Drosophila melanogaster: one gene and its partners. Changing the gene in region 4 together with the main gene of any one other region gives a genetic interaction. Each region holds a gene or a part of one and is shown on either strand. Other genes may lie near its edges. The genes, in order: stet, S, Sos and Krn.

Region 1 (6,671 bases), about 16 Mb from region 4:
CTCCAGGCTCTCTCGAATTTTTGTTAGAGAGCGAGAGAGCGAAGAGCGCTACAGCGAACCGCTCTTTTCTACGCATACAGTGATAGCAGACAACTTTATGTGTGCACACGTATGCTCATGCATTGTAAATTTGACAAAATATGCCCTTCACCGTAGAAGTTCTTAGACTTTAAATCTATATTATTTTTTATCAATTGGCACCATGCGAAAAATTCTTGTTTTGCATTGCCTTAACGTTATTATTATTTGAAAATAGATTAGAAAAAGCCAAATCTATGTACATATTATCACAAAAATCAATTTCAAACATGACTTTATATAAGAATATTTGTCATTAGAGTATTCATCTTGCGGCGTGTGAAAAATTAATAAGGCAATGATTGTTGAGTGCTTGTGTCCGCATTTCGTGCCTCAAGATATGAACAAAGCAAAGACACTAGAATAATTCTAGTGTCTTTGATATTACTTTTGCAATAAACAGTTATCATATTTAATTATTTAGTATATTTATTAAATCATTTGACCTAATATGATGTAACATTAACATTAAAAGTGTTTCAAAAAAATTATTTCGCTTTTAAAAAATTGTCAGATGAGAGACAAATTAGAATTAAACATAAATATAAATGTGTAAACGGTAGATAATTCGAGCGGCGATTTTAACAAACAAATTTAAACAGCTTTAAAATTATAATAAGAAGAGCGCGAATTTTTAAAAATTATTTTATTTCATCATATTGCTACGAAATTGGCAAAAAACTACCCTAATATGTACAATGTAAATTCATTTCTTTGATCAGAATTGATTTCGGCCCGAAAATCGTCTTCTAGCACAACACGCACACATATACGCGTTCTCGTCTCTTGTTTTTAACTCACACAAGCAAGCAAATTCTATTTTTAGATTTCTTATGTTCTCAGCGTGAGCGAGCGGAAAGAGAGCAATTTTGGCCGTCACCAAAAAAGTGGCTGCATAGTGCCAAACCAATGTATGGCCGTTACGCATCTTGTTATTCTAGTGTCTTTGCCCAAACTCACTCACACACTTACACACACACACACAGGGGCAAATGAGGACACGTCGGCCTGGCTAATTCATGACTTTAAGGACACTTTGGCAAACAATCGAACGGCCAAGGCGAAGGAATATTCACTGTGCAATTGATTATGCATGAGTGTTTTGTCGTGTGCGGTTTGTGTGCGTGCCAATCAACTGGGTAGAATCAATCAAAATGCAATAGGATTGCCCTGCCAATCAAAGGAAAAGCCGAGAAAAGCGCTTCATTCGCTCGCAGAAGTCACCTCTGCCGCCCACTCCCCTCCAGTTGCACAGCTCAAGTCCAAGGTAGTATTTTCGGACCACATCAGGACAAATAGCCAGTGCCCAGGTAACCAGGACAAACACTCAAATGCCTGGCCAAGCGTGGCGAAGGAAGCAAACGAGACGTGGGCTTACATACAGAAAAACTATGGTCTAACTTTTTCTACAATCGATGTCCTTGGTATATCCTTCAAATAACTTAATGCGCAGTGTATTTCATTCAAATACATTGCTGCTTCCGGAACAAGGTGTCCATAGGTACTAGCATAAAAGTAAGTAACCCCCTTTTATTCGCAGTGTAAGCGTAAGCGGCGCATTTATTTGCCAAGCGCACTTTTTGCATTTGCCAAACAAGAGTGCGGCTCCTGCCAGGACGAGGCCTTGTCCTCCGTCTGTTTGAACACGAGCCTACACTTTGGACCTCGTCCTGGGTGAGTACTTTGCACCTGTGTTTGCACTTAAATCGAGTTTGCCGTTGATGAGCAGCCCGGGACAAATATACGCATGGCATGGGTGCTTTGGGTACTTTGGTTACTTTGGTTACTTGGCCAGTGACCACCGGCGATTGTAATTGCGGCACACGGCACACTCACCACATTCACAAAGTCCTGGAACGTCACGTAGCCGGGTCCTGTGGGCAGCTTCGCCTTCTTTGCCCGCTCCAGCAGCAGCTCCCGCTTGTTCATAGGCACTTGGGACAGGAACTCCGGCGACTTGAGGGCCTCCAGGAATTCCTCGACTGATATTTCGCCAAAACCCTCGGGATCGAACTGCAAAGCGTGAAAAGTAATTATAAATAAGTATAATTATAAGTATTCCTTTTTGGGTTGGCTTACTCACCATGTCAAAGAGCAGTTTCCATTTCTGTAAGTAAAGTGAAGAAAGAAGGAATTATAATAAGTAATGTTCAGGATTTTCGTATTGGAACTCACATCTCTTAGTAGCTCCCGTCGCAGCTCGGCCTCATCGAAGTCCGAGTTCAGGGACGTGTGTTCCGTATCATAGCCGGCATCATTGGTGCATTGCTGCGGGTAATTAGAGTTAGAGATACGATCTTTACAAGCAACTCCGGCTCCTTACATAGCGCATTTGGGTGTGCGAGAGGGATCCAATGGAGGCAAGGGAGCCGGCAATGGTGGATATGTGCTCGATGTCGGCCAGAGTCTCCTGCTGACTACTACCGCCGGCATTTTGCTGGCTGGTTGGGATTTCCAGGGCCCGCGAGCTTCCTCGCTCGGAGCCGGGCCACATCCTGCTGTTCCTGGCTATCCAGATTTGGTTTTGGGATCAGGGCGGATCGTTGTGTTGTGGTTTGGCAGTGTTTGTAGCGATTAGAGTTCAGCTGCGGAAAAGTAATTATCAAGTATTATGCTCCGAACTTGTCTGTCCTTTTATTCCCCAATATTGTAGAAATTTAAATAATAATTTGAAACAAAAAAAGTAAATAGCTGTTATATATTTTTAAAATGTTTGTTTTCGAAATTCGCCAAGTGGATCCACTGTGCAGAGCTTTTCAATCTCTTTAACTCAAAAGCTCTTTTGGAGGCAGTTCAGTTTGAACGACATAAATTCCACCACCGATTTGGTCGAGTGCGCTGAGATGTCGATTCACGCGTGCTCACGTTTTTCGAGTGGCGGTTCGAGTGCCGCCGAGGTTGTGTCGAGATGAATAAAAAAAATAATTCATTCATTTCGTTTTCTTAAGAAAAGAAATTAAGATTTTCTGTTTGTTGGGGTTGGGGGGGCCTGTGAAATCAGTTTGTTGCAATTTGACGTTACTAGAATTGTTGCACTTTCCGCGGGCCCAGAGAGATACTTCCGGATAATCATAGGCTGCTGGTTTTCAATACCATAGTCTATTTCATGGCCGGCAAACAAATTTCCTTTTTGCTTTTGCCCTTTGTTTTGATTGCCAAGTCAACGGTTTGTTGTCGTTTTCCCTTATTTTCCGCTGATAAGAAGGTTATTGATCCTGCTGGAAATATAAGGCACACTGCGCAGAATCCGGCTGGCAAACAATTGTTTTGCATTTTGTTTACGCCTCGTCAATTGCCGGAACAATTTTGTTTTCATTTTGTTGAATTAAACTAGGCAATTGGCATTGATTGAATGGTTTTGTTAGCGAATGAATGGAATGCGCATTCTTCTCCTTCCATTGAAGGAGAATTGGCTTGATTGCTACCCCCCGTGTGTTTTGCTTTCTATTTGGTTCACAGGACTTTCTTGCTTGCGCTTCTCTGCTTGGCCTTTGGCTTTCTTTATTTCATTTATTTCACTTTTATTTACCGTTTTGCTTGCACCCGCGAACGCAAAACTATTGCACATTTACATCCAGGCAAAAACAAACACGCGAACTTTCCGCCGGCAAAATGACAACTGACCAAGGAGAGCTGCCAAAATTGAGAAGAGAGAGTGTCTCTCTGGGGGATGCAGGGGATTCGGATTCCCACGGCACATGCGCTCAGCTTGGAAAGCATTTCCAACCCGTTGGCATTTCCTTCCTCCCCTGCGCCCACCCACCCGCTCTGCGAGGGGGCGCATGACGCAATTCCAGAGCTGGCCACTCACACCCCCTAATGTTTACATACCCTGCACTTCGATAATAACAGCGGCTACGCACCCCACACCCCGCGACTTGCACCGTGGAATGCCAATGTTAAAATCATCACTAGTTTTCATACTAGTTAGTGATTCACTGCTGAAAACTTGATGAATGAAACTGCACGGGAGATGCAGCTTTATTGAAACTTACTCATATCACATACATATGATGAAGACAAAGCTCTGGTTGGCACACTCCACTCCACACTGTGCTACAAAGTTGCGATTGTGAAATGATGTTTTATGAATGAAGTCGAATTAATGAATGTATTTTGTAGAGCAAACTTTTAATTTGGAAAACTTTCTAGCCCTAAACTCAAAAAATCCGTTTTAAATATGATAAAAACAGATTTCTTAAATGTGTGATGCATTCATTCTTTAATGATGTCTAAAAAAAAATAATGATTTCAAATAGATAAGTTAAATGGAAGTTCCTGAGCTTTATTTGAGTAAGAGCTGTACCAAAATATTTTTAAAAATTACTTTAATCGATCAAAAGCAGAAATAATAAACTTAAGAAAAGTTCCACTGTAAGAATCGTGTGATTTTGGATGGTAAGGAAAGTGTAAGACCAAAGACCCTAGAATAACAAGATGCGTAACGCCATACGATTTTTTGGCACACGATTTTTTGGCCGTGGAACAAAGCAAAGACACTAGAATAATTCTATTGTCTTTGATATTACTTTTGCAATTTAATTTAATTGCATATTTAATTATTTAGTATATTTATTAAATCATTTGACTTAATATGATGTAACATTAACATTAAAAGTGTTTCAAAAAAATATTTCGCTTTTAAAAAATTGTCAGATGAGAGACAAATTAGAATTAAACATAAATATAAATGTGTAAACGGTAGCTAATTCAAGCGGCGATTTTAACAAACAAATTTAAAAAAGCTTTAAAATTATAATAGTCAGGGCGCGAATTTTTAAAAATTTTTTTATTTTATCATATTGCTAGGAAATTGGCAAAAACTACCCTAATATGTACCATGTAAATTCGTTTCTTCGATCAGAATTGATTTTGGCCCGAAAATCGTCTTCTAGCACAACACGCACACTTATACGCGTTCTCGTCTCTTGTTTTTACTCACACAAGCAAGCAAATTATATTTTTAGATTTCTTACGCTCTCAGCGGGAGTGAGCGGAAAGAGAGTAATTTTGGCCGTCACCAAAAAAGTGGCTGCATAGTGCCAAACCAATGTATGGCCGTTACGCATCTTGTTATTCTAGGGTCTTTGGTAAGACACAGGCGTGATGTCGCTTACGAATCAAATTATATATATGTATATACGTAATGTAAGGTAACTAATGGTAACGTACACTGTTATAAATATTAATGCCAAGCGCAGAACTTTCAAAACTGTTACTTGCAATATATTTACAGTTGCTTAAGCCTAGCCTAGTGGTCTAGATTATATAGCTAGATTATTTTGAACGATCCGATCCTGAACTTGCAGCTACTTGGGTTCGTGATGCGAAAGCACAGCAAATGTGGGGGGGTTAAGTGAGCATCGTATGATGACCACAATTCAAAGAACAGATTCCATACACTCGTCTATGTGGCTAGAGAAAGAACTATCGATCCACGGGGAATTCAATTCTTAAGGATTTATTTAATCTCCAGCAGCCTTGCTTGCTACTCCAATGTCTTCCTCTTTCCGGTTTTAACAATATTTACACTTCTGAAGGCCTAAAAAGATCGCTGGCTTACAACATGTGATACATCATATACATATATAATCTAGTAATTATGTAATTATCGAATATTTCTGCATCATTAGATTTAGTTGCTTAACTCTCGCATAGTTTAAACTTGCATCTATGTATCTGCTGCTCTCGCTGTAAACATAAAAGTCAAGGAAGAATCTCTTGAACCACATAACACATGCACTTGCTTTAAAACGGGAAACAGAGGAAGCAGAAAAAAAACATTACAACAAACTCGACTCCTAAAGCTACGTGTTATCCTAAATATCCGCTTAGCCGTCGACGACCATGCGTTCCGATCCGGAGTCGCACTGCTCTATGACCAGGCGAGCGATGCGCTTGATCTCGCAGTAGGGACTCTCGTGCTCGATTAGCTCGTTGAGGATCTGGATGCCGTTCTCCTGCTCCACCAGCTTGCAATATTTTTCGGGATAAACCTGTGACGGAATGCAGAAGTTAGTACACAATGCACCAACAATGGGAAAAGGAATTGCTCCCCCACCTGTGTCAGATTGGCCAGGGCCCAAACAGCCCAATGTTGGCACTGGGGCGTCTCGTAGCAGCGCACCAGGCTGAGGATCGGCTCAAAGCTGCGGTAGTTGATGTTCCGCTCGCTCTTGATGTTCCACCGCTGAATGGCGGCCACCATGCGCTCCAGCACGTGCTCCCGGCTGGGCGTCTTGATCGTCCAGGCATCCGCTCCGTCCGAGGCAATGTGCGCCAGCACTCCAGCCGCATTGTAGCTGACCTGGAAGCGCAGGTAGGCATGGTTAGCACTGGCCATCTCTCTCTCCCGCACTCTCGCCACCACACTCGCACTAGCACCACCCACCTCGATGCCATCGCTCAGGGAGTCCAGCAGACGGGCAAACACCTCAATGAACTCCTGGGTCATCAGCTTGGGCCGCAGCCACTTCACCTCGGCCACATTGCCCAGCAGGCCCATCATGTTGCGCAACAGCTCGTCACGATCCGGGAAGGTCTGTTTTGGAAAAGGACAGTTCAGCTTAAGAAGTCTGGATACAGGAAGTTAA
Region 2 (6,369 bases), on a different chromosome or scaffold from region 4:
AAATTACAACGTAAGACGATGGCGCACTCGCACCCACATACACGTGATAAAAAAAACCGTATTCATTCACAGAACAGTGAAATTGGGTGTCATTTTGGGATCGATTCAGATTTCAGATATCTGCTGGTGTGGATGAATCAATTAAATGGCAAAAGAGCGAGCCAACTTGGTTGACCAAACTTGGACAAAAGGAGTGGCCAGCTAACGGATATGAAAGAATGGGCCGAAAGCGAATTTAGTCATCTAGTTGTGCATGAATCAATCACAGATTGTGCCATTCATTCACTTCGAGCCTCACTCACACATGTCACTCACAACTTCGAGCTCCGTTTTTTGCCCATTGAGTGGGAGATCGATGCAAAATTGCCACTGCACTGCTCACTCCTCTGCGATTCGTACTACTGGCCTATTAGTTTCTTTTCGCTCCTACTCTCCCCCTCTCGCTCGCTCCCAATTGCACGTGTTGGGACCGCTGCAGCAAAACAACAACAAAGGAATCGACGCCGACAGCGGATTTTGTTGGATTTTATTTTTGGGTCTTGGGGCTTCTCCGCTTTTTATATTCTTCTTTATGTCTTTCCGATTTTGGAGGTAGCTCGCCATGTGAAAGGAAATAATTACTTTATTTGTTGATTCTGTGTGTGTGTGTGTGTATGCGTACAGTAGGGCTCGGAATAATAGAGTAGTTACAAATATTGCTGTTATCTAAAAATACAGTTGGTCAGAATATTTTGTATTTTTCAGTTGCGAATAAACACAGTACATTATCATTTGATCCTATGAAAACTACATTTCGTTAAGATCCTACTATATATTTTTGTACGAAACAGTCCTACTTTTTTGGCCGCCTCTGTTTCGCCTATTATGAATGTGCGAGCAAGATTGTTGTTATGGCCCCGTGTTGCCTTTCGGTTGATTTGGCTGCCTCTTTTCCTCTGTTGCCAGCTGGGCTGCATTTCAAACCATTTGGAAATTCGAAATTGTTTGCAAGCTTTTATTGGCCAATGCTGCTGCTTTTTCTTCTTCTTATTATTATTGGCCCCCGCCCCCGCGCTTTTCTAAACAATAATTAACAGTAAATGAAAGCGGGCAGGAAACGCGAGAGGCCTGTGGAGGCTTGTAGGTCAAGAAGCATTAGATGGGCAAAGGTATAGGCCATTAGCCATTATTTCCTAGTCGCTGTTATTATTCTGGCCACTGTTGCAATGGCTCCATCTAACGGTGCCTTCTTGCCTGCCGCATAATGACGCCTAATTGGCCAGGCAGAGATCAGGAATCTCAGAAATCAGAGATCGCCAATTGAGAAAGTGAGATCAGTGACAAATTACGCGGGCAATTTAAGCGCAGCTTTAAGCGGGCACATCCGCTTTGCACATACGCGCAGTGCAGAACATTAGACAAATTTGCACATTTAATCAAAGACAATTGTTTAATTGGTCAATTGCGGCAAGTAACTGGAGTACCAGCCGGGAAATGGGAACGGGGCAAGTGCGAAAAACAAGATAGTGCAGGATGAGACTCCTACACGCAGCACATGTGACATTAGAAACAGTTCTAACAAATATCTTAATTGCTATCAAATTTTATGCCGCCAGAAAACCTCGATTCCACTCAGTTTCAGTTGGGTTAGAGGCAACACAACTGGGGGAAGTTCGAGACCGCTCTTTATCGGGCCTCTCTATTTACGTTTCCAGAGTGGGACGGCAATAGCCGTGGCAAGACAATCATCAAGTGCGACTCTTGCTGGTGTTTTCGCTGTGGCCCCTGCACTTCCTACTAGGAAATTCCCCAGAACTCGGAATTATATGCAGCAGCAGCGCTGGCAAGTGTCATTTGAGACCAAGCACAAAGAGACACACAGCAGCTGCTCCCCAGTGGACTTGTGTGTGTGCCGGAGAGTGGATTTTATTTGAAATTCAAACTCTTTTTATGGTGCCCACTGATTACAGGGTATGCGAGGGTAGTATGCACTTGTGTAAGGAAGTGAGCAATGCTGTTCTAAGGATTGAGACTAACCAAATCTCGCTTTGGAATATTTCCTTTTCAGAAATGCCCTACAAACAGTTTATTAAGAGGTATCAACTGGTCGAACCGCTATGAACTTCACTTCCTCCCCGGATTACCAGTAAAAATCGTTAAAATCGCAGTCGCAACAGCTGTAGGAAAACTATAAACCACATTGGGAAATGCGTTTGGGATGGGGTGAATATGGATGGCTACGCCTTTTGCGGCTCTCTAAGCCCTGGGATGAACTTTTGTGCTCGATTTCCAGTTGCCAAAAAGCGCCGGAAATTGCTGGCAACTGTCGGTGGTCGCCAGATCGTCGGCATATATGCAATGTCTGCAGCAAAGCCCCCTTTTTCATATGGAAAATGAACCTGATTCTCGAGCACAGCGGCGAAAATTACATAATCGCCGGGCAAATGGGAGCACAGTCATATCGAAATTGTGCCAAATTGCAACTGCAGATGATAATAACGATAATTTATTTCTCCCCCAGTGAGATGTTTCTATTATACGAGCAATTTTCTGGAATCAGCGGGTGCCTAATTTCGCCCGATTTTCTCTGTTTCAGCAGCCAGGGAAAACATTTCAATTCTTCTATTTTTTCTGGTTTTTTCGGCCCACCAACAGAGGTTTTCTCTAGTTTATCGGCTTTCCCGAGGGTTTTTCCTCTTTCCGCTACCTGCGAATACCTGCCCCGAAAAAAAGAGGCGTGGGAATCGCCGAACATACAGGAGGTGCAGAGTTGGGAAATCGGAAAAAATTGCAATTGCAGGACGTGTGAAAATGTGCGGAAGACAGGAAACGTGGGCCAAGACCACTCGCAGATTTCCCGGAACGGCCTTGGCCAATGGGAAAGGGATTTTTCCCTGATTTTGAACTCACCTTTTTCGGCAAAGAGGGAAGTTATATATGTTTCGTATCCGTAAAACGAAGCTCCCAAGACACCAGAAGAACTCTGCACACACGCACTTGCTTTTGAACCGTCTTTTTTTTTCAACTCTAGGACGAATTATCGCACGGTTGATTTACGTTTTTTGCTGGTTTGGCTTAACAATTTCCTTTTGGAACATTTATTTGCACACAATTATTTATTAAATGCCGCACACACACACACAGGTGATTGGTGATCGATGATGGGCCGTGTGTGGTTGTGTTGTTTACGTACGTGTGTGTGTGCGTAGAGCACGCCTCGCACACACTGACAAAAATTCATTCACGACACGGTGATCACGATCGTCGCTCTCGCTCGCTCACTCATGGTGTTTTTGTGTGGAAAATCCAAGAGAAAAATAATACTATGTGAAGCGCAGACGAAAGACGCACAAAGCTGAGTTATTAACGTGTGTTATTGTTGTTGTTGTTTCTCGTTGCTACTGGATGTTTTCTGCTGCTGTCGCCTTGTATTTACTTAATTTCATATGCATATTTCGCCCATGGTTTTCTTTTTTCCGCTGCTTTTCCTTCTACCTGTGCTTTAGTTAAACGAACACACAAAAACAACACACACGCACGCACACCACACTCCGCGCACACACACACGCACGCACGAAACGAGAGACGCAAAGGTAAAGTGGTAAAGTGTGTGCAAGAAAAGCGACAAGAAACGGAACGGAACCAACGGAACCCGTATATATGCACGCGCTCTTCGATTCAATGGCGATTTCGGTTTCCACTGCACTCGCTGTGTTTGTGCTAGTACATTTCCCAGTTTCCTTTAGATTTTCGGTACAAGTGTTGCTATTGCTGGCGAATTTTTCTCCTGGCCACCGCGTAGCACTCGCGACGTTACGATTTTTCGACGTTTGATGCGCGGGTGGAGAGCAGACAAGCGTCGGGTTGGAATTGTCGGGACAGAGTGTGACCGCGGCGCCATCCCCGGAATATACCATCCGGCTGCGGGAAATACCCTAGATACCAAACTAATCGCTCATATATACCAAACGGCAGCGAACGGCCACGCTAAAGAATCGATATGTACATCGATAGTATCGCACTGCAAACTGACATCACTATTAGCACGCTTTTAAAGTTTGTGCAAAATAGGTAAATAGAAAATTGGGAAAATAGGCAAGCGCCGGGAAAATGGGAGTCCGCGGCCTGACCAGTTACATAGCGCAGCGCGCGGAGATCTACCTTAAGCCGCACGAGCTGCACTCCACGGCGCTGGTCATCGATGGCGACAACTTGAGCTGCAATCTGTACAAGGATGTCACCGGGAGCTACTCCGCCTTCGGCGGCGACTACGACGACTTCTACCGCGCCGTGGTGCAGTTCTTCCAGGTTCTGGCCGAGTGCAACATTCGGCCCTATGTGCTCATGGACGGCGGGTACGAGGAGCGCAAGCTGAGGACCGTTAGCACCCGGCTGCGCAACAAGATTTCCGTGATCAAGAAGATAAACCCCAATGCATCCATCACGCTGTTCCCGCTGCACCTCAAGGAGGTTTTCGTGGACGCTGTGCGCGACTGCGGAGTCCCGGTGATGAGGTGCGTCTTTGAGGCGGACGACGAGTTGGCTGCTCTGGCCAGGAAACTTAACTGCCCAGTGCTCTCCTACGACTCGGATTTCTACATCCACAACGTCAAGTACATCCCGCTGATCACGCTGACTGTTAAGGTAAGGCATAAGTTATTTGGATTCCAGCATATACTAAGCGATTCCATGTACCCCAGGTTCTCACCAAGCAGGTGAAGGACAAGAACAGCAGCAACCAGAAGGACAGTCGAGATCTACGTCACTGCGAGGCCAAGAATGTGAAGAAGCGCACCAGGGCCAACAAGATTGTGACTGGCATTCAAACCACAGGGCTGACAGCCAGTACAAAAGGCAGTTCCAAGACCTACAAGTACCTCGACTGCTGCATCTACCGGGTGTCCCATCTCTGCGGACGAGGAACTCTGAGTCCCGAGAAGCTACCCCTTTTTGCCGCCCTCCTGGGCAATGACTATATTGCCCGCAGTGCCTTCAAGAACTTTTTTGCTGCGGGAATGGGCAAAGCAGGACGAAGTCGCAAACTAAAGCTCCAGCAGAAGCGCATACAGGTCATCCTCACATGGCTGAAGGAGGAAACGGCGGAATCTGCTCTGGCTAAAGTGCTGTCGAGACTGAAAAAGGTTCGTTGCTTGAGATATCTTTTTCCGATTTATGCTAAAAATAATATTCTTGCAGAACCAGCGTGATTCCCTGGTCTCCCAAGTGAATGCAGCCATCTCTGGTTACTCCAACGAGTTGTGCCACGCCTACGATTACTTCGATGAGCACTACGAGAATGCTTTTCCTTATATAGAACCCGTCAGTGAAGAGGAATGCAGCGACGATGAACATTCGTCTAGCTCCGATGAAAAATTTTCAGATGTCGAAGAAGGCGAGGATCAGGAGGAAGCTGATAACCAAGATGAGGAGCAGCAGGAAGAAAATCAAGACGTTGATTCGGGTGATGAAGAAGAAGAGGAGGCGGATGAAGGCCTCGAGCTGGAAGTGGAAGACAAAACGCTACTCTTCCCACAATGGTTTCTGGACAAACTATATCCCGCGCACCTGCCCCGCAGCTTCGTGGACCTTATGCACCTGCGCAAGTACATCAACAACCCACAGATCGAGCACTTTCCCTTCCACGACTCCAATGAAGTGGCCTTACCCATCCTGAACTACGTGTTCGCTCTTCTCCATCACGTAGAGTGTGAGAAAATTGAGCTACCATTAGAAGTGGATATGGATATAGAGGGTTCGACAGTCCCCTATCTCACCTACCTCACCAGAGCTCTGCGAGTGACGAACGTGAGGTATTTCAAGATGCCCATTGAAAAGAAGCCTGCCTATCCGTTTGATCCTCTTTCGCCGGATGCTAGGCATTTAAGAGCTGTATTCGAAGACAATGCTCCCAATGCGGATACGGAGAAGTTGTTCAGCAAGCTCGACCAGTTGCCGGAGGACCTGAGGCTGTACTTTCTGGCCATTATCTACTGGTTACATCGCTCGGAGCACTGTGATTTGCTGCATCTTCACTCGCTGATCCTTAGTTTGGTTGTCCTACGAACCATAGATGTTACAATCCCTGCTGAACGAGAGGTGAAAACCTTCCTTAAAAGATTTGGCAAGACATTGAAAGCAGAGCGAGCAGTGAGGGATAAGGAAGCTGCCGAGGGAATTAAGCGCGGCATCAAACCTGCTCTGCTAGAGCTTTCTGTTCCAGATCGGATGGCTCATGTACCCAAATCGGACTGCTATTTAACTCAGGAACGCCTACTGCCGCACTTCCATATGCAGGAGATCTTCAAAAAGAAGTTTGACTTGTACTCCACCACGGTTATCCACGCATTTGCTGAATTTCAGGCTGTGGTTTACCAACTCAATGGGCTAAAT
Region 3 (9,297 bases), on a different chromosome or scaffold from region 4:
CATTGAATAATTCCATTCTTTGGCCAATTGCTAATTGTGTGAGAAGATGGCAGACTGGCACATACATACTTACATACATAGATTGCCAGTTGGTGTAGGTCGTCGTCTGGCTTCCCGATATCTTGGTCAAGTGTTGCAGGGAAAGCGAAATCTAATGGCGAATAGATATGATCGTGCTCGTCCGATGGCCTTGTCTATAGGGTATGGAGTGCATGGTGCTCTATAAATAAAGGTGCACCCCACCACCACCCCCCACAATTCAACAACGGAAATTCCCCGAGTGTCTGCTATGATGTATTGAGATGTGTTCATAGGACACAATTGGACATGAAAGATGGTCTGTCTTTCCCAGGAATTCCTTTCGGTTTATTCACCCTGGTAACCGCTGGTACTTCACCGAGGATCCAAATCGCTGCGCCATCAGGTGACACATCGCTTTTTGGGGACGGTGGCTGCTGCACACACATAACTCCCCCAAATAACTGACGATAAGGGGCTGGACACGAGCGTGAAAATACGAATATACAAATATACGAAAATAATTCAAAAAAACAACAACCGGTTCCCAGCGGCGAGCAGCCCAAAATTTCAGGAAGCATTTGTGCTCGACGTTCATGACGTTTTAGAAAAGCGAAAGTCAATCCGCGTTGTTTCCAATAAGCGAATGTGTGTGTCCAATTTAATTGCACCTAATGCAGTGAGACAACAATCGCTCTAGTTTTTCCTAACCCACCGAAACTAATTAGCCATATACACAATCTTAATAATGGCTGCGATTATGCTGGACACTGCGAGAATGTCAGGTGTGTTGCAGTCGGATGTCGGTTCACGTCGACTTCATCAAGGCCACTGGGCACATAAAGAATACCCACGATCTTTAAACGTTGGAAAAGCCTTGATAATCTATGCTATTTGCTCAGATTGCCTTGACTTTGGCTACAATACTCTATATTTCTGGTCATCGAAAGATGTCGCCAAGTGTCTAACAATAGGGTTATACTTTATTGTTTTACGTTCTACGATCAATACAATGTTCTCGATATTTACAAATATTTATAATAGTAATTATATAATAACATAATTTCTTGTTTGCATTTCTTGTTGGTTGCTTGGTTGCTTGCTTGGTTTGTGTGTCCTGCATTCCTATCCATATGCGCGTGCCTGTTGTGTGTAAATGAGAGCGTATTTTGTCTGTCTGTCTGTTCTACCTTGTTAAATGAGTGGCGAATAATCTAAATCAGCGGTTCCAACTCGTTTCATACTAGAATACATAAACTGCGCCTACGTATATATGTATATATATATATATATATCTCACGTTCCGTTCTCTCATATATATATCTGCACTCAAGCAGTGCTCGCAACTTTGAATCTTACGGATCATACTCGTAGTTTTCGTCCTTATCACATCGCCAGGCAATTTAAATTATTCTTCGTTTGTACTTGGGTAAAGAAACATCGTACCTTTATCTGCAAACGGATAGGATGGTTGGGTTAGGAAACACGTTATCACGGGCCGAGTTGGTAGCACTCACCTGGATTGTTATAGAAGTTAGCGCTTAGACTAGGTTTTGGTGGAAGTTTGGGTGTGCCCTCGAGGCTCGTGGCAATCGGAAAGAACTCCTTGGGGGACGAGCGCGACTGCGTCGGATTCGAATGGTGCTGGTGCGGATGGTGCGGCAGATGGGTGGCATGATGTTGATGGTGCTGCGAGTAGATCGCTGGATGCGTCTGCTGCTGCTGCTGCTGCCGCATTCGCAGTTGGTGGGCATAGCTGCTCGACGTGCTCTCCACCGGATGGCTGGGAATGTTGGGAGACATGGGCGACATGGCGGGTGTCAGCGGTGATGTGGTCGTCGAGGAGCTTGCCGCTGGCGAGATCGGTAGCGGCAGCGGTTCGTCCGTCGCCACTGCCTGCGACACGGTCACTAGTGTCGTGCTGATGGGTCCCGCCGCCGCCTGGTTTGGCTGGCTAGTTGCCGCTGCCCGCTTCTCGATCGCCGAGTTGCGGCGTATCATAATACTGCTGGTGTTGGGCAGGAGCAGACTGCTGTTGCCCACAAACTCCTTGCTCTTGCCGTGGCTTTGTCGCAAGTAGCTGATGCCCGTGGAATGGTTGAGCCGTGGCGGTATCGGCGGCGGACTGAGTTCGCCATCACGCGGGGGTAACTGCAAGGATACGTAAAATGATTGCTGTCATCTGCTACTACAAATTAGAAGTAAGTGAGGCTACTTACTGTGGGTGCGTCTGGCGCCTGACGCTTTTGCGCCATGTCCGCACAGCTCTCAGTGCGCTCCTTGCGTCTGGGTGGCAGTGGAGGCGGCACTGCTCGGTACTCCATATTGGTGGCCATCGGAACGTTGACATGCGGCGAGATGGGCACTGCCCCCGGCTGTCCCTGATGGGCACTGTTAAAGTAGAATCCACCCGCGCAGAATTCCTCCCCGCCCGATGTAGACATGCCTGTAAGGGTCACGGTACTGGCAGTGCTATGCGTTGGGCTGTTCTGCATGCGCCCATGGAATGGTGATCGATTGCCGGTTTCGTGACGCGGACTGACCACTAGCTTGGGCAGCGGCGACGGTGGAGCTTCCGTGTCCGATGCGAATGGATTGCTGTCCGGCAGGGACTGCGGTGGCAGATGCTCCGGCAGCGCTGGACTGAACACAACATCCATTGCCGACGCACTGGCCAGTGTCGAGTTGTTGTTAGCCCAGACATGCGCGCCCGGTTTCTTGGGGAGATGTGGCGCCGGCACCGAAACCTCCCCGTTGTTCTGGTCCGTTCGAGTGTGCTGTGGCGTTCCACTCCAGCTGCTGGTGTTCCGTTCGGGTATAATAACAGGGGCGAAAACGGAGAAAGCGTGCGGATTGTGCTGCGGACTTTGCTCGCCAGCGAGAGTTCCAGATCCAGCATTAGCTGCTGCTGCTGTTGGCGCATCCATTATGCTGGAGGCGTGCAAAGATGGCGCCGATGCCGTAGCTATTGAGGTGGCCGTTGACGATGCTGCCGCTGCCGCCGCCACGGACGACGTGCTGTTCGACAGCTTGCTACTGCTGTTGGTCTGATTCTGGCGACGCGGCTTGATGCCCGGCGATTTGAGCGGAATGTGCGGCCATTTTCGAGGCTACGAAAGGAAAATGGTTAAATTTCCTATATGACTTGTAAACTTTGAAGCATTATACTTACGAATTTCGGCACTGTCTTGCAGCCCCTTGGCTCAATGCGCAGGCTTTCGTTATAGAGATAGTCGGACATCTGTTTGTCGGACAGTCCGTTAAACGGATCCAGTTGCTCGAAGAACTGTCGTATTGTGGACTCCTCGTTGAGGCAGTATGGCTGGTTCTGGTACTGTTGAATCTCGCCAATAATCTCGGCCACTTTCCGTCGTTTGGAAAAGTTAATTAGCTCTGTGTTGGCTAGCAGGTCGGGGTTACCCTCCTCCAAGTGGAGTATGTTGGTCAAGTAGCGACCGAAAAATGGCACACAAGGCGGATTGATGGATCGCAATCGCTCCTGATACTTTTTGAGATGATCGTCGCTGAGCTCGCGGCATTCCTCCAAGAATTTTCTGTAGCGTTCGGGCAATCCCTGGAATGTCCACCGCAGTCGATAAACAGATGCCGTGCCCATAGCCGCGACAATCGAGAGGATTCCATTAAAATTGTTCAATTCCAGCATCACCATCATCACTTCGATTGCGCGTTGCATAATAGCCAGGCGTTCCTCGTAGTTCTCCGCTTCGGTGATGGATTTTTCAATCCAGCGGGTGACGTTCGTGGTGTGCTTCATTATCTTCAGTAGATTAGGGCTCTTCACCTCCTTGTCCTTTTTCGTCCAGGGTGATCCGACCAACTCAGACGGCTTTACATTCTTGTACATCTCGAATTCCAGTAGAGTGAGCTGACGGGCCAGTTCCAGTGGGTGCAGGGTGAGGAGCGTTATCTCGTCGTTGGGTACACTAAGGTGATGCTCAATGGGCGGCGGATCGTGGCCATAGGCGTATACAATCTTTTTATTGCTTTTCTCCTGCTCGTTCTGTAAATAATATTTGAAAAATGATAACGATACTTCCACATTATGCTGTTGACCAACTACTCACCTTTCTCTGAACAATCTTAAGCACGGAATCCACCCACTTGCGCATCGATTTGCCATTCACGTGCTCCAGAAAGTTCAGCAGCTTCTCCAGCAACATGGGATCCTTCTCGAAATCGTAAAAATGATGGTCGACCCAATGGCGCAGTACGTTGAGCACTCGAAACTGCACTGGCTGCACGTACTCCTTGCGATATCGTTTCCAGTCCTCGCGATGCGAGTTCTTGTGCTCCTTGTCACCGCCAACGCCGCCCATTCCACCCGCACCTGCTGTGCCCGTGTCTTGATAGACCAGGCTGGGATCCGGTATGTTAAAGCGTTCCACCAGCAGTTGCAGCAATTGCTGCGGCGAGCAGAAGTAGCGATATGTGGTGAGGAAGGTGCGCACAAAAGTCGGATCGGCGTAGATGTGATAGGTGAGGCGCTCGATTAGCTTGCAAAGCGTCGCTCCCTTGATCATCGGCACTCCTGCGCTTTCGCGCTCCTCCAACACGATATTGTCACCGCTGTCCGGCACCGCGAACTTGTAAATCTCCGGACTGGGCATCCGCAGCGGATGCTTTCGCTCGATGTCTTGCAATATGCTGTCCAAGTGCCGGTCCAGCATCGACTTGGTGATAACCATCAGCAGGTCTGCCATCCAGTCGTGCTTGTGCTGTGCATTCTTGGCGGTCAGCACAATGGGCGGCTGCATCCGGGGTGCCAACTCAAAACTGTTCTTCAGATCATCGCTGTCCGGTCGATCGTTGATATCCACGCGTCGCATGAAATACTTCTCCTTCAGTCGGTAGTCGTAGGCCGTTGCTCCTGCCGATGGTGTTTGTTTCTTGGTGTTTGCCTTGCATAGCACCATTAGCCCGTCGAAGAGGAATACCTTGCGCTCGCTCCAGATTCGTTTTCCCGATCCAAGTTTGCTCAGCGAATCCTCTGTAAATTTGAAATACCATTTTAGTTGGAGGATGCAAGTAACTTTCGTTGCCAGCACTTACCGCGAATAAATTCATTGCAATTCTGGCCCACGTCCTTGTCCTCCCAGTGCTCCACCTTCATTTGGAGCTCCCGTGTCCGCTCGATTGCCAGCTGGCGGCGCACTCGACCGCTAACCGGAACTTGTCGCTCCTTGGACAGGCTGGCCATTACCTTTTCGAGATCGCAGTGGAGTGGATGCAACAGTCCCTGTACCTGTTCGAAGCTCTCGATGTCGTCCTGCGAAGAGCTGAGATCCTTGAGATGCTTGATGTAGTCGAAATACACGAAGGCATGGCAAATGGGCACCAGAAGCAGCTTGGGCAAATAGTATTTGACCGCATCGCGGAAGCCATGGCCGGCTGTGGTCAGAGATGAGGCCTAAAAGCAGGGATTTTAGTAGAATTCTTCGCACAGAAGGTATCAATACTTACCCCTGGCTTAGACAGGAGATTGTTGAGAGCATCCCGTGAGGCCTGCGAGGTAACGTCGTAGGCGTACTTCTTGTACACATCGAACTCCTCGGCCTCGGCCAGTTCCTCAAAGCAGCTACCGACGCAGGGGGCACTCTGCTCCTGGGACATCTCGATGACGTCCTCCAGGGAGCCGAGCAGAGTGACCGTCACCTCGTAAATGTCCATTATGTTGGAGAATATCGGTTCCAGCTCGCGCGGATCGGACACGATCTTCACCAGCTCCTCACGAAAGACGCGTATGATCATGTGCAGGTCGCGTTGGTACTGCTTCTCGTCGTGGATCAGCTCCTTGACCGTCTCCTCGTAGGTGGCACTTGCACGCTGCGCGGGAAGTGACAGGGGACTGGGCAGGATGTGGGCTTCGCTCTGGTTGAGCATGTCCATTAGCACACGATCGGCGTTCATCACCACCTCGATGTCCTCCTTGGTGATCTCGCAGTGGGCGATCTTGATCACATAGTCGCCGGCCATTTTGAGTATGTCCGCTGAGATGTACTCGAGCACGGCCACCAGGAAGGCGGACACGGAGCTATCGATCTTGTACTGCAACACATCCTTCTGGAGCAGCGTGTGCACCTTTTCCGTGGGCAGGACAGACTTGCGTTTCTTCGAGTTGATCACCTCCTTGGCCTCGTTCAGGGCCCACTGATCGATGGGCGCTGGAAAGGACTTGTTCACCTTCTCCTCCACATCCTGCACGGAATGGGGCAGCGGCTTGGCGCACAGCATGGCCAGAAGCCGCAGACAGAGTTTCTCCACATACAGCAGTGCGTCCTCCTTGGCGGTAACCCGTGGATGCACTTGCTCCAGCACCTTCTTTAGCGATGGCGTAAACAAGCCCCTCCATCTCGCAGCATTCTCGCACTTGGTGAAGTCATAGCCATCGCAATCCTGCAGCCCAGCCACGCCACCGCCGCCAATGCCAATACCACCGCCTCCGCCCTGTGAGCCACTACCACTACCACCGCTGCCGCCGCCGCCTCCAGTGCCCAGACCGATCCCGCCCCCGTAGCTAATGGTGTGGGCATGGCCGCTGGGCCCCGAGAACATTCTGTGCGCCGTGGAGTAGCCGACGAGAGCCTGCCGTGGAGCACCTTCGTTGGCCGCCTGCCCTCCGCCTCCCCGCCCGCTGTGTTGTGCACTGAATCCAGCGACGAGTGGAGTGGAGCGGAACCTGGAAACTGGAAACCTGGAACCGTGGGGCACCTGGCACAGCCGGATCACCCGGGCGAACGTCGCATGGCAGTCACACACACTCAAGCGCACGCACTGAACTCGTTTCGAATCTTGAACGGGGCTCGCGCGTCCGTTTCGTTTGCAAATCGCTTGGGCTTCAGCACTTGTTTTCAGAATATGTATCTTCGATATATATATGTATAATATAATCTTCAACTCAATATAATATTTTTCGCGGTGTGACCAGAGTGCGGCACTGCCTAAATCCAGTAAATGCTCGCGACCAGCCCTGATTCGATGCTTAAGAATGTACTAAAAAATCCAATGTAGAGAGCATTCGTGTTGAATGGCTTTTTTAGCAGAAGAAGAAGCATTTTGAATTTAAATTGCAACGAGCAGGTTTAAAATATATTATAATTTACCCAAAAAAAATGAATTTAATTATCTCTTCAATGTTTATATTTCAAGAAATTTATATTTATATTTATAAAATGTCTTTCCTTATCTAAAATCGTAAGGAGATATGCAACATACATATCGACTCATCCCTTATTTTACTTGGATAATGTAAGATACATCCGCTTTCAACGCTTCTAAATCGAAAACAAGTACAATGTGTTCAGTTGAAACAATTAAACATATGAAAGCAATGCAATGCAACAGAATACAAAAACCAAAAACAGTTAGGGAGCTAGCTTCCAGAAGTCGAAGCTTCTATACCCTCGTATAATTATATATTTGAAAAACAATCCATCCAAAAACCATAACTATACGGTATATAGTATACATATACACATATATGTACACTTTTACTTTGTTGTCAAATTTTCAGTGTATAATACTTCAGGTTTCAATGTCCGCTTATAGATTGAGTTGCATCGGGAACGCGGAATGGGGACCCCATACCTCCAATCGTTCCAGCTCACTATTCAACTCGGAGGCCATCGAACAGTTGCGCGATAAGTGGACCCACTTCTTTTTTAACCTGCCAAAGGCGCCTCTCGAATTGCAGCTGGCCAAAGCCCGAGCGAATCGTGCACTCGAGCTGGTCAGGAGCAAGGAGAAGGCTGCTTTGGAACGGACCGAATCCTCGCCAAGAAGTAAGTGCCGTCCACTCACTGCTCTGCACAACTCGCCGCGTACCACGAATCGAATGAAGCTGATCATGGAGACTCGCGTGCGTCCAGCGATCGTCAAAAAGTCAAAGTCGGAGTACAATCTATGTCCCAGTTGTGGGCTTGTCAAGGACTCGATTCTCAATCACCAGCACGCCGAGCAGCGACTGAAGAAGCTACTGGCACAGCATCCCAGTTTGCTGCCAAAACGACAGCATAGAAGGTCAAACTATTTGCGTATGCTATAACTAGATAAATTGCAATTTTTCTTCCAAGAATGCCAGCCATTTGTGTCGTCAAATATATTTAGTTGTGGGTAATAAGGAGGCAGAGTGTGACTATCTTTCCAGTAGCGTGCCGCGCTGCTTCTTCTGCGGCGGAGGTGCGTCCTCTGTCTTGGTTTTGATGCCCACATCGCTCAATTTTCCGCCTTTGCGCTGCAGTTGCTTCTCGATAATCCTTGCGTTGTTCGCATAGCTGTCTGCGATCTCGCGCTGTTTGAATGAACAAAAAAAATGGTTAGTTTGAAAGAGTTGTAGGTTTGTTCGTAGATGATGCAATGATAGATTGGATTTCCTGCACCATTTACAAACCAACTTTAGCTGACAAACTTACCGCCTCGATTTCATCCTCCTCCTCGTCGATGGTAGACACCGTGACCGAGCTGAACTTGCCCATGTTCTTCGTGTGTCTGGTGACGACGACCTTCTTGCCACTGGCATCCACAATACCCGAATCGTCTGGACCGGCGGAAGTCGCTGGCTTGGCAGCCGGTGCCTTGAAACTGCCCTTGATCTCCGAATTCAGCAGCTGTGTGAGAGGACTCTCACCCTTGTTGCGGATTAGGGCATTGGACATGACGAAGGTTACGTGGGAGTCGGGACTGTGGCGATAGTAAAGCGGCAGACTGCAGCTTCGGCACTGAAGGTTAAAGGAAAACATTAGGTGAACTAATGACGGGTAAGGAGTGGAAGTCAGCTACTCACCTTGTAGCGGTACTGCTTCTCGATCCCATTGCCCCTGCTCTTGCGTTTGATGTAGACCATCCTCGGTGTGGGATTGTGGGTGAGTTTGTTGGCATGGTCGTTGGCGTTTATCACACGGGCGTTGTCCACCTCTCGTAGCGGCAACTGTTCGAGGGTGCAATCTGTAGGATAGGCAAACATGATGTACTATGCTTTCAGTTAGTTGGCTCCAGTAATCTTACCCAGAATCAGAGCCATCTTGTTGCACAGACAGTAGTAAATGTTTAGCGGCTTTTCCTCGTTGTACTCCTCCTGATCCTTGGTATCGGAGCAGACGATACTGCGCGACACTACTTTGGGCATGGTTATTTGTGGGTTTCGGACTTATGAAACTTATAAAATTAAAGTAATTTCCTATTTCATTAAACACCGCAAGTAAATAAATAAACAGTGAGACCAGAGTGTGCAAGCAAAAGGTAAACAATGCAACACGCCAATCG
Region 4 (8,785 bases):
GACCACTGGAAAGCCTCCAGGTGCACCTAGTAAAAGAATAGCAGCCGTTCCTGGGCAGAGGCGGAAAGGAGGCGCCACGATCGCTTGATGCTGACATACTGTATTAAAGCGCGTATGCTGATCAGGAAGCCAAAGGCACAGATCAGCCACCAGAGCCAGGAGTTTTCGTGCGAGGCCAAGTCCGTCGAGTGCTTCACGATCAGCGTCCATTTAGCCAGCGACAATCCGAATCCCGACAATGCTCCATATCGGGCGGCGATTGTGTGACAGAAACAGGTGAGCATCAGGAAGCCGATCCAGTTAAACAAAAAGGCCACAATGAAGGCCGTGATGAACATGATGTCCGTGCCGAGCAAGTTGTCGGTGGTGGACAGACTATTTTCCGGATCGCTGGCATCGATGGCGATGAACGTGAGTGCCGGCTGGGCAGATCGCACAGCAGCGGCTCCATCGCGCAGCGGATTTGGCGGCAGTAGCGGATTCGGCGGCGGCGGTAGCTGCTGCGAGGAGGGTAAAGTCAAAAAGGCGGGCGGCAGCTCTCCGTTCAGCGACTTTTCCATTTGAACCTCCTCGTACGTGGGCAACTTCCCGTGTATTTCTGGCGGCAGTTGTGCATTCATAAGGTCCGCCTGGCTCGGCAGCTGCACTTGCATCTGTATCGGGATCTGACTGGGATCGGGTGTGGCCAAGGCCAGCGGTGGCATCTGAGCCGGCAGTGCTACCTGCTGGCCATGGCCAACGTTCGCCTCGTACGGTGGCGGAGCACTGAAGTCCGCCTTTGGCGGTCCCAACTGATCATCCCCGGGAGACGGCTGGTTGTTGTGCGGCATGACTGGAAATTACAAACGGAAAACGGGAAAATTAATTCAGTGCTTAAGGGGTTACAAAGCATATGAATTTTTTTGACAGCCTAAGGTGACGTCTCAGAAAAGAAGATTCTTAAGAAATTCTTTTCTTTCTTACATACTAAATTTAAGATATCCTTATTTTCGTGTAGCTTAACAGATCAACTGTTTAGTATTTACATGCATCTCTGAAATAAAAGGAAAATCAAGGCCATGGTGAATTTTGTGCAAACTATTCCCAATCAAATTCTAAAGGTATTCGAAATTTGCATTATCTAAATTGAAAGTAAAGCTGGTGATTTAGTTCTCGCTTTTATTGACGATATTAGTTCACGCGTTTTTTTTTTTAATAAAATTAGGTGTATAATAAATAAATGGGCGGCTAGCTGCCAAAATTGCATTGAATTATATCTAGATTTATTTTTATCTCTCTCTGAGCAATCAGTTTTCGTTCGTTAATACTTGATCTAAATGTGTTATAGGCACGTCAGTAGGCACTTAGAACTACGGCATTCGCCATCTCAATCAGATGGCAAAAATAATAGTTTCGTTTAGCAGTTAAAATAAACAGTTGGACATGTTAGACATTTAAAAACAAATGAGCAGCCAGGCTAATTAGTTAGCGCAAAAGTTCGTTGCAATGCCTGGGGCGATTGGAGGCTTTCGCTTGAAGGTGGGCCTCCTCCAGCGATAGGATGCGGCAGGGTCCAAAGGGACGTCTCACTGGACGTAAGGGTCGCAAGCCATCCACCTCGTCCATGCCCTCGTTCTGACAGCCACCGTCGGTCGTTGTGGTTGTGGTGCTGTCGTGCAGCTTTTGTTTTTGCAGCTTCTCGTGTCGCAGATACAAAACCACACAGCACATGGCCATAAACAGAAGGGCCAGCGTTGCTCCGCTAACAATGCTGGCCTTCTCTAGCATCACACGGTTCCTGGTTGGCAGGTACGAGCCATCAATCTCCTTGTACTCGCACCTCGGACCCATAAATCCCAGCGCACATTCGCAGTTGTATAGGATTTCATTGTGGATCTTCACCGTAAAGCAGGTGCCATCGTTCAGGCAATACCAGGCGACATAGGTCGGTGGACAGGCGAAGATCGGGAAGGTGACATTCGGTCTCGGCGTTGTGGATATTTCCACATTATCCGGCGGCAGGATCGGTGCAGCTGTTGGCCGCGGCTTAGCGATGGCACGCGAGGAACAGGCGGCGGTGAGCGGTAGGTAAGCGCCGATTAAAGCGGTGGCAAGCAGCAGCAGATCCTGGGCTCGCATCTTGATCTTAACTCATGGCAGCTTACTTGGGAATGTGGCAATGCAGTTTAAGGTGTTTTGTAATGTGGAATTCTTGGCTTTGGCTGGCAGGCGGCTGCAAAACAAAAACGAAGTGCAATTAAAAACAAATCAAAAATGTAAGCTCGTGTTCGGGTCTGTGTGGGTTAATTGCCTGCCTAGCACCGCCAGCCGCCTCCTTCTCACAATTACAACCTATGCTCCTCGACCTAAGTGAGAACGAGAAACAGAAAATCGAATTTCATAAATTTTTAACAAAAAAATGACATCGTTTATTTACCTGGCCGGAATCGCGAGCGGAACCCAAGCGGCTGTGGCATTTGCACAGCCTGCATTCATTATCAATTGGTTTTTCTGTTTACACTCTCACTTAACATAGCGAACACTTCAGGCACTTCAATATATAAAAACTGTTTAATACAAGATGTATTTAAACGTATAAAAAATTGATTTAACCTTAGGATTTCGAAACGCCTTGTTATAAACAAGATCTTTTCCGGAGAAAGAATGAGCTTCATTAGAATGTAACTGATCCCGTTGCGTATATAAACAAAATAATTCGAATGATCAACAGAAACAACGATGTTGAGTAATTCTGCTGAAACAAATACATCATTTGTAAGCAACATTTGAGTGGCGACCATTTGAGTGGGCGTAAAAAACATAAACAAATTAGTGCTCGCCTTAGTTGTGATCCACAATAACAGTGTCGTTTTCAGAAACACTAATTTTCGGAATTCCACTTAACGTAAATTAAAACTTTCTAAGTGCTTTCAATAAACGCTAGTCATGCCAACTTAACTGTCTAAATTTATATTAGGAAATATGTCAGTGAAATTGAACTATTTTTTTATTCAAACATGCAATATTACATTATTAATCAAAACTAAAGTTATATTCTTCTACTTGGAAGTGAAGGAAAGAAGAGCGAAACAGTTGCAATTATAATAAATATACACTTCGTTTTAAAAAGTTTTGCTTTCGTCACCTGTTTGGATGTTAGCACATTAAATCTAATATTTGTACTTTATTTCAAACAGTCAATTATATATAAGATAGCATTTAGCTTTTATTTTCTAGGACTCTCGTCACTAGTCGGAATCTCAATCCACAGTCGCGAGTCCTTGGACTAAACCGTGTCCAATTGCTTTGTAAAGCTCAACGGAGCCCTAAGCCCCATAAAATTTCCCCTTTCCTCCCATCACATGTGTGGCACGCACCTACGTCTAAAAATAACAACAACAAAGCTCACGAGTGAAAGTTGACAGCTGAAATGGCAGGAGAAGAGTGCGAGTGCGAGTGCGAGTAGGACAGTGCGACAGTCGCAAAACACAAATGCAATTAAGATGACCTTTCGGTCAATTGAAATATAAACGGAGCCAAACGAGCAAAACAAAAATAGTTCAAGCCAATAAAGAAACTGCGTGAGTGGGCTTAAGTTGGCCCTAATTTCTGCGAGTGCATATATGGGTTTTTTGTATAGTTTTTTTTTATATCTGTGGGTATGTGGGTGAGCCGGACGTAAGCTTGAATAATGAGCTAATAGGCGCCAACGAGCTAAATGAGCACCTGGTGGCTTATCAAAAATTGACCTCACAAACAGCAGAGTACACAGAAATAAATTTTGATATCATATATGATATGATTTTTGTATCAGAATACAAAAGACTTTGGTTTCATATGCACTCAATAATTACTTTTGTATACACACTTTAAAATACTTCAATAAATATAGGAAAACATAAACAGTACTATTTGTATAATTAAATTTAGAGGTGTCCAATTTTTTTCGTGCGCAGGAATATCTAAAATCACAGTCAACACAGAGAAACCGTATTGATAAGGTGACAAATACCATCCACAGGTGCGGAAAGCAAGTGGATGCTAGGCAGTAATTACAGTTACCTGTGGATGAGTCAGATGTGCGGGCATTTGAAAAATTGCAAAATTGCACGAAACCGAGAGATTGCACATTGTACAGTTGAACTTATCTGCGTTTTGCCAATACATTTGGTAATATCATTTTAAATAAGACTCTATAGTGACACACAAAGATTTGGAGGATTTCACAATCAATCCCAATGTAAAGCGACTTTGCTCATTCTTATTTTTTAAGAATTCACTAACAATCGGGCTCAAGTACACTTATCGTTAACATGCTTCAAAGCTGGCATATAATTATTTTCAATGTAATATATACATATAAAAACTTAGGTAAGGTTCTCTGGAAAATACACTGGTTTTTCCATTGAAAAACAATAGATGTTTAAACCGAATAAATCGATTTGCTTTTAATGCGTATGCATTCGGCTAAAAATAATTTTTGAATCTTTAAAATAAATAGAAAAGCTTTTACATTTCTAAATGTCAACACATATGGAATTACCTTTGAAACAGATGAGAAATTTTGTGCAAAATATATACATATTTTTTTTTAATAATTCCATCTGGATTTGTAATTCCAAAAGTGTTTTTGTATCTAACAATATACAGTATTAAAAAAACAGTATTTGGTATCTATAGAATAATATGTGGTTTGTCATAGCCAAGTTTTACTGCGTATGCGTGTATGTAAAAATAGGATTGGAGAGGGAGTTAGAGCTCTCGAGAGGGAGAAAGCAACAGGGCCGTGACAAAAGGCGTTGGAAATTAGGGAATTGCCGTGGAAAAGTAACAACGCAGTTTGGGCCAGGTTTTGGGTTTCAGCCGGAGTTTGTTCGGTGATAAGAAATTTGAGCGCGTGGACAGCTGCCAAGCAGCAGGTGTGCGCAAGGGAGAGGGCGATAGAGGAGGCATCAGTGGAATAAAGCATAAAGTAAACCAGTTAAACGGGACCGGGAGCACAAGAGAGAGGATGAAGATGCAAGCGGAAGAAGCTGAAGAAGATGCAGATGGAGCTGTCTGAATGGAAGGTCTCTCAAGGGGCAATTTCCTGGATTGAATGAAAAACACACAGGCACCGACAGCTGCAGTGGTATTGCAGTGGAATAGAGAAAGAATAAGATTAGGAGCGAAGAGGGGAGGCGGTCGACTGCGAGAACGAGTTTCCAAGCAAACGGCGCTTGTTGTTATTGTACAAGGGCAAATGAATTAATTTACTTGAGTAAATATGAATTAAATAAACAAGTACACCGACACAGGGGTAGACTTATCGGAGTGTGCACTTTTTTTTTTAGCGTTTAGCACCTGAGTGGCGAAATCTAGCAGAATTAAGATTATTAATGTGCTAAACAAAACATAAACACATGTACACACACAAACGCACAACTGGGGCTAAAGTGCTGAGGAGGGGGAGAGAGAGCCTTAAATCTCCAGGAGTGCTCCTGTAACGGTTATTTGTTTCCCTTTCTTCGCCCTTTCTTTTCACGTCTATTTCTGTACCCGATTTTAATTCGATTTGATTCTAGTTCGCCTTTTCTATGCCATGTTCTATTTATTCACCTTGTTTTCTTCTATGCGTTGGTCGATTGCGATTGCGTTCGCTTTTCTCTTTTGCGCAGCGCTCTCTCACGTTTCCGTTTTATTGATTTTGTTCGAATTTTGTTGACTTGTTGTTGCCAAACACGCACACAGCTAATACTGTTGGTTTTTTGGCAGAACTGCGACAGTAGGCGTTTCGCTTTCAAGTGGCTTCACTATACGCAATTTAAATAATTTAAAACTGGGCTCACTTCGCGAGCGAAGCGAAAAAAACAAATGCACCACCACGAATAATCTTCGATTTCTGAGCTAGTGGTGGCCAGCTGCTGGGCAGTCCGTATCGATTGTAGGGATGTAAGCGTGATAAGCTATCGAATCACATGAAATTAGTTATTAACATCGGAAAATAAACTTGCGTACTTGAATATAAAAACCTGAAATTATTTTGTACACTTTTATAGTGACAAAAGTTTCAAATTGCTGAAAAAATATCAAGAAATAATAATAATAAGTTTATTAAAGCTGTTCAAAAGTTTGATTAATTGTCTAATTCATAAACAGTATACGGAATACCCTAAACGATGAAAAGACAAGCAACCCGAATATAATCGATAAGCCTAAATAATGTTATTTTCCCTTCTACTCATCACTAAGCTAAGAAAATTTTGTAAACAACGACGTGGACGTAGTAAATTTAATTAGAATTTAGCCACAAAAATGCATAAATGTGCTATATTTCTTCTACTGGCTTTAAGTGTAAGTTATGTCTGAAGCTAAGACATGTTTTTAATATATATTTTATACCCTACAGTGCCAGCAAATTCAAGCCGAATTGACGGCCGCCGACTGCCGGGCGTTGGGTTTTATTAAGGCCCAGTTAATGTGTTCCAGTTGCGAAAAACTGGATGATTTCGGATTGGATACCATCAAGTGGGTTCAATAACATTTAATTAATCTAGCTTTGGAGTTGTAAAGATACCCATGAACTATGCTATAATCATTCCATAAGAAGACCTGAAAATTGTTTAATTAATATGTTAATCTAATTAGATCAGGTTAAATTTCATACCTCATTTTAAATATTCCAACCAAAAATGCTTAGCTTGACTTAGTAAGCTCCTCCATACCACTGACTAAATATGATTCTTCCTTCAGTTTTTAATAACAAAAATTATATTAACTTTTTATAGTTTCTGCTTGAGCCCATTGCTCTTTTTTATTCATCCAAAACATTTTTAACATTTCAGGCCTCAGTGTAAGCAATGCTGCACTTTGGATCAGCAGCCGGCGGCACAGCGGACATATGCCAAGGCAATTCTGGAGGTGTGCACCTGCAAATTCCGGGCCTATCCGCAGATTCAGGCCTTTATTCAAAGCGGCCGACCTGCCAAGTTCCCCAACCTGCAGATCAAATACGTAAGAGGACTGGATCCCGTGGTTAAGCTCCTAGATGCCAGTGGCAAAGTGCAGGAGACGTTGTCCATAACCAAGTGGAACACAGACACTGTCGAGGAGTTCTTCGAAACGCATCTGGCCAAGGATGGTGCCGGCAAGAATTCGTACAGCGTGGTGGAGGATGCCGATGGAGATGACGATGAAGATTACCTGCGAACCAACAGGATCTAAAATAAGCATACCCAAAACTGTAGATTAATAAAATCCGAAACAAAACTATAGACCGTACCATTTTCTTTCAAAATCATTGAATATTTATATTTTGTTAAATATATTCTGTTCAAGAACTAAAAATGTGTAGACGTGAGATTAGTACTCCAAACTTCTGGGATGTCAAGCCACTGAATTTAAAAAATATAAACATCAAGATCAGGGATATACATAAAATTGGCTTGTAATATGAGAGATCTAATCTAACTAAAGAGATTTAGTTTTTAAAAGTTTTTAGAGCCACTGCAAGGTGGCGTGAGCTTTTCTACGCGCCACCGCGGAAAAGCTGTGGACACAGTTTGAGAGTAACTGACAAGCCAGTTACTGCAATGCGACGCCGTGGGAGTTTTCGATTCATAAGTATAAATTAAATCATTTTATTTGTTATCTTGTTATCGATGGCAAAGGAAAGTTCCCGGCTGAGGCAACAAATTCGCGGCATTGTAGCCGAAATTCTTATCGCAAAGACATCACACCACACCACACCCCCCCCCCCCCTTTGTGGCCGTCAGCAGTGACGTAGTGGGCTCACATGGTGGGGGTCCTCAAGTCGATCAATATTTGATCAGCCTGCTGGAGTAATTGTGGTAACTGAAACGGCAAACAGCATATTTCTGCCCGCCAAAATCGTAGCTGATGTCTATTTCCGATCTGTGACGCAGCCTTGACATCGCCGTCTTTCCGCTCTCTTAATCTTGTTTTTATCCGGATACCGCGCATGATCAAACAGTTCCTAAGTCAACCATATATTCATATAATAATGAGATCGGTGCTCTTAGAAAATATCACCAAAAAGTAGTGACAATTTAATAATAATGTCTTGCCTAACACTTTTACCTTAATAACTACTTTCTACTTTGGAATACTTGGATCAAATGTTTTTAAAGTGACATGAACTGCAATGTTTGATATCCTGACAAAGGGAGATATTTATTAAATTTATTCAAGTTGGGCTTGGAAGATCTAAACTGTGAAAAGCTTAAAATATTGTACAATGTGGATTATTTTATAGCTGACCTCCATAAAAATGTCTTAAATATAAATAGTATTGCAACGTGCAGTTTATTTGGATGCGATGAATATAAACAAATACAAGAGTATTTATGCAAGTAAACGTCTAGCTTTATTAGCATTTTGAAAAATGCATTACAAATTCTATGATGCTCCTACAACTGATTACAGCATCACAAATTCGAAGAGCAAATAATATTGTTTATAGGCCCACCGCACTATCGCCTGTTTACGTTTCATTACAAGTATACACTGATATGCATTATTAATTCTTATTTGCTGTCCTTGTTGTTAGTTATTGCAATTTAAGGCGGCTACAATGGGCTGTGGTACCTCGTCATCGAGAGTTTGGCGAATGTTCCATCGTCCTTGCACCACTGTGATGGACCCTTTATCAACGCTGCCCTTGAAGGGACTTGCAGCCAGTACGCGTGCCAATACATTCCAATCCAAATCCAATCTCGAACGTCAATGCTGGGCCCCTCTGATGCGTATAGATTATTTTTAGCCGCTGCTATCACACGCAGACCCCATCGTACGGATATATGTACAG

What was found.
Region 1: of Krn (region 4) and stet, changing one suppresses a phenotype caused by changing the other (phenotypic suppression), as found in Drosophila melanogaster (one study listed by BioGRID).
Region 2: of Krn (region 4) and S, changing one enhances a phenotype caused by changing the other (phenotypic enhancement), as found in Drosophila melanogaster (one study listed by BioGRID).
Region 3: of Krn (region 4) and Sos, changing one suppresses a phenotype caused by changing the other (phenotypic suppression), as found in Drosophila melanogaster (one study listed by BioGRID).

What each region holds. Positions count from the first base shown.
Region 1 is NT_037436.4:1,485,845-1,492,515, forward strand, and holds the start of stet (stem cell tumor), read right to left. Parts: upstream 3,704-6,671; 5' UTR 3,608-3,703; intron 3,202-3,607; exon of another isoform or gene 3,062-3,201; intron 2,988-3,061; exon of another isoform or gene 2,895-2,987; intron 2,664-2,894; 5' UTR 2,573-2,663; coding exon 2,402-2,572; intron 2,347-2,401; coding exon 2,254-2,346; intron 2,186-2,253; coding exon 2,162-2,185; intron 2,092-2,161; coding exon 1,915-2,091; intron 1-1,914. Other genes in the region: CG12084 (uncharacterized protein), read right to left, coding at 5,910-6,074, 6,140-6,619.
Region 2 is NT_033779.5:1,073,946-1,080,314, forward strand, and holds the start of S (star), read right to left. Parts: upstream 3,871-6,369; 5' UTR 2,890-3,870; intron 1-2,889. Other genes in the region: ast (asteroid), read left to right, coding at 4,090-4,623, 4,680-5,120, 5,176-6,369.
Region 3 is NT_033779.5:13,811,508-13,820,804, reverse strand, and holds Sos (Son of sevenless), read right to left. Parts: upstream 6,990-9,297; 5' UTR 6,592-6,989; coding exon 5,500-6,591; intron 5,447-5,499; coding exon 5,089-5,446; intron 5,027-5,088; coding exon 4,104-5,026; intron 4,040-4,103; coding exon 3,191-4,039; intron 3,129-3,190; coding exon 2,238-3,128; intron 2,170-2,237; coding exon 1,536-2,169; intron 1,471-1,535; coding exon 1,427-1,470; 3' UTR 981-1,426; downstream 1-980. Other genes in the region: CG16888 (uncharacterized protein), read left to right, coding at 7,571-8,080; CG16865 (uncharacterized protein), read right to left, coding at 8,171-8,326, 8,448-8,753, 8,819-8,979, 9,040-9,160. UniProt on the Drosophila melanogaster protein: Promotes the exchange of Ras-bound GDP by GTP. Functions in signaling pathways initiated by the sevenless and epidermal growth factor receptor tyrosine kinases; implies a role for the ras pathway in neuronal development.
Region 4 is NT_037436.4:17,648,415-17,657,199, forward strand, and holds Krn (keren), read right to left. Parts: upstream 5,867-8,785; 5' UTR 5,578-5,866; intron 2,213-5,577; 5' UTR 2,119-2,212; coding exon 1,465-2,118; 3' UTR 1,148-1,464; downstream 1-1,147. Other genes in the region: Ndfip (Nedd4 family interacting protein), read right to left, coding at 27-830; CG7484 (uncharacterized protein), read left to right, coding at 6,274-6,312, 6,368-6,486, 6,804-7,182.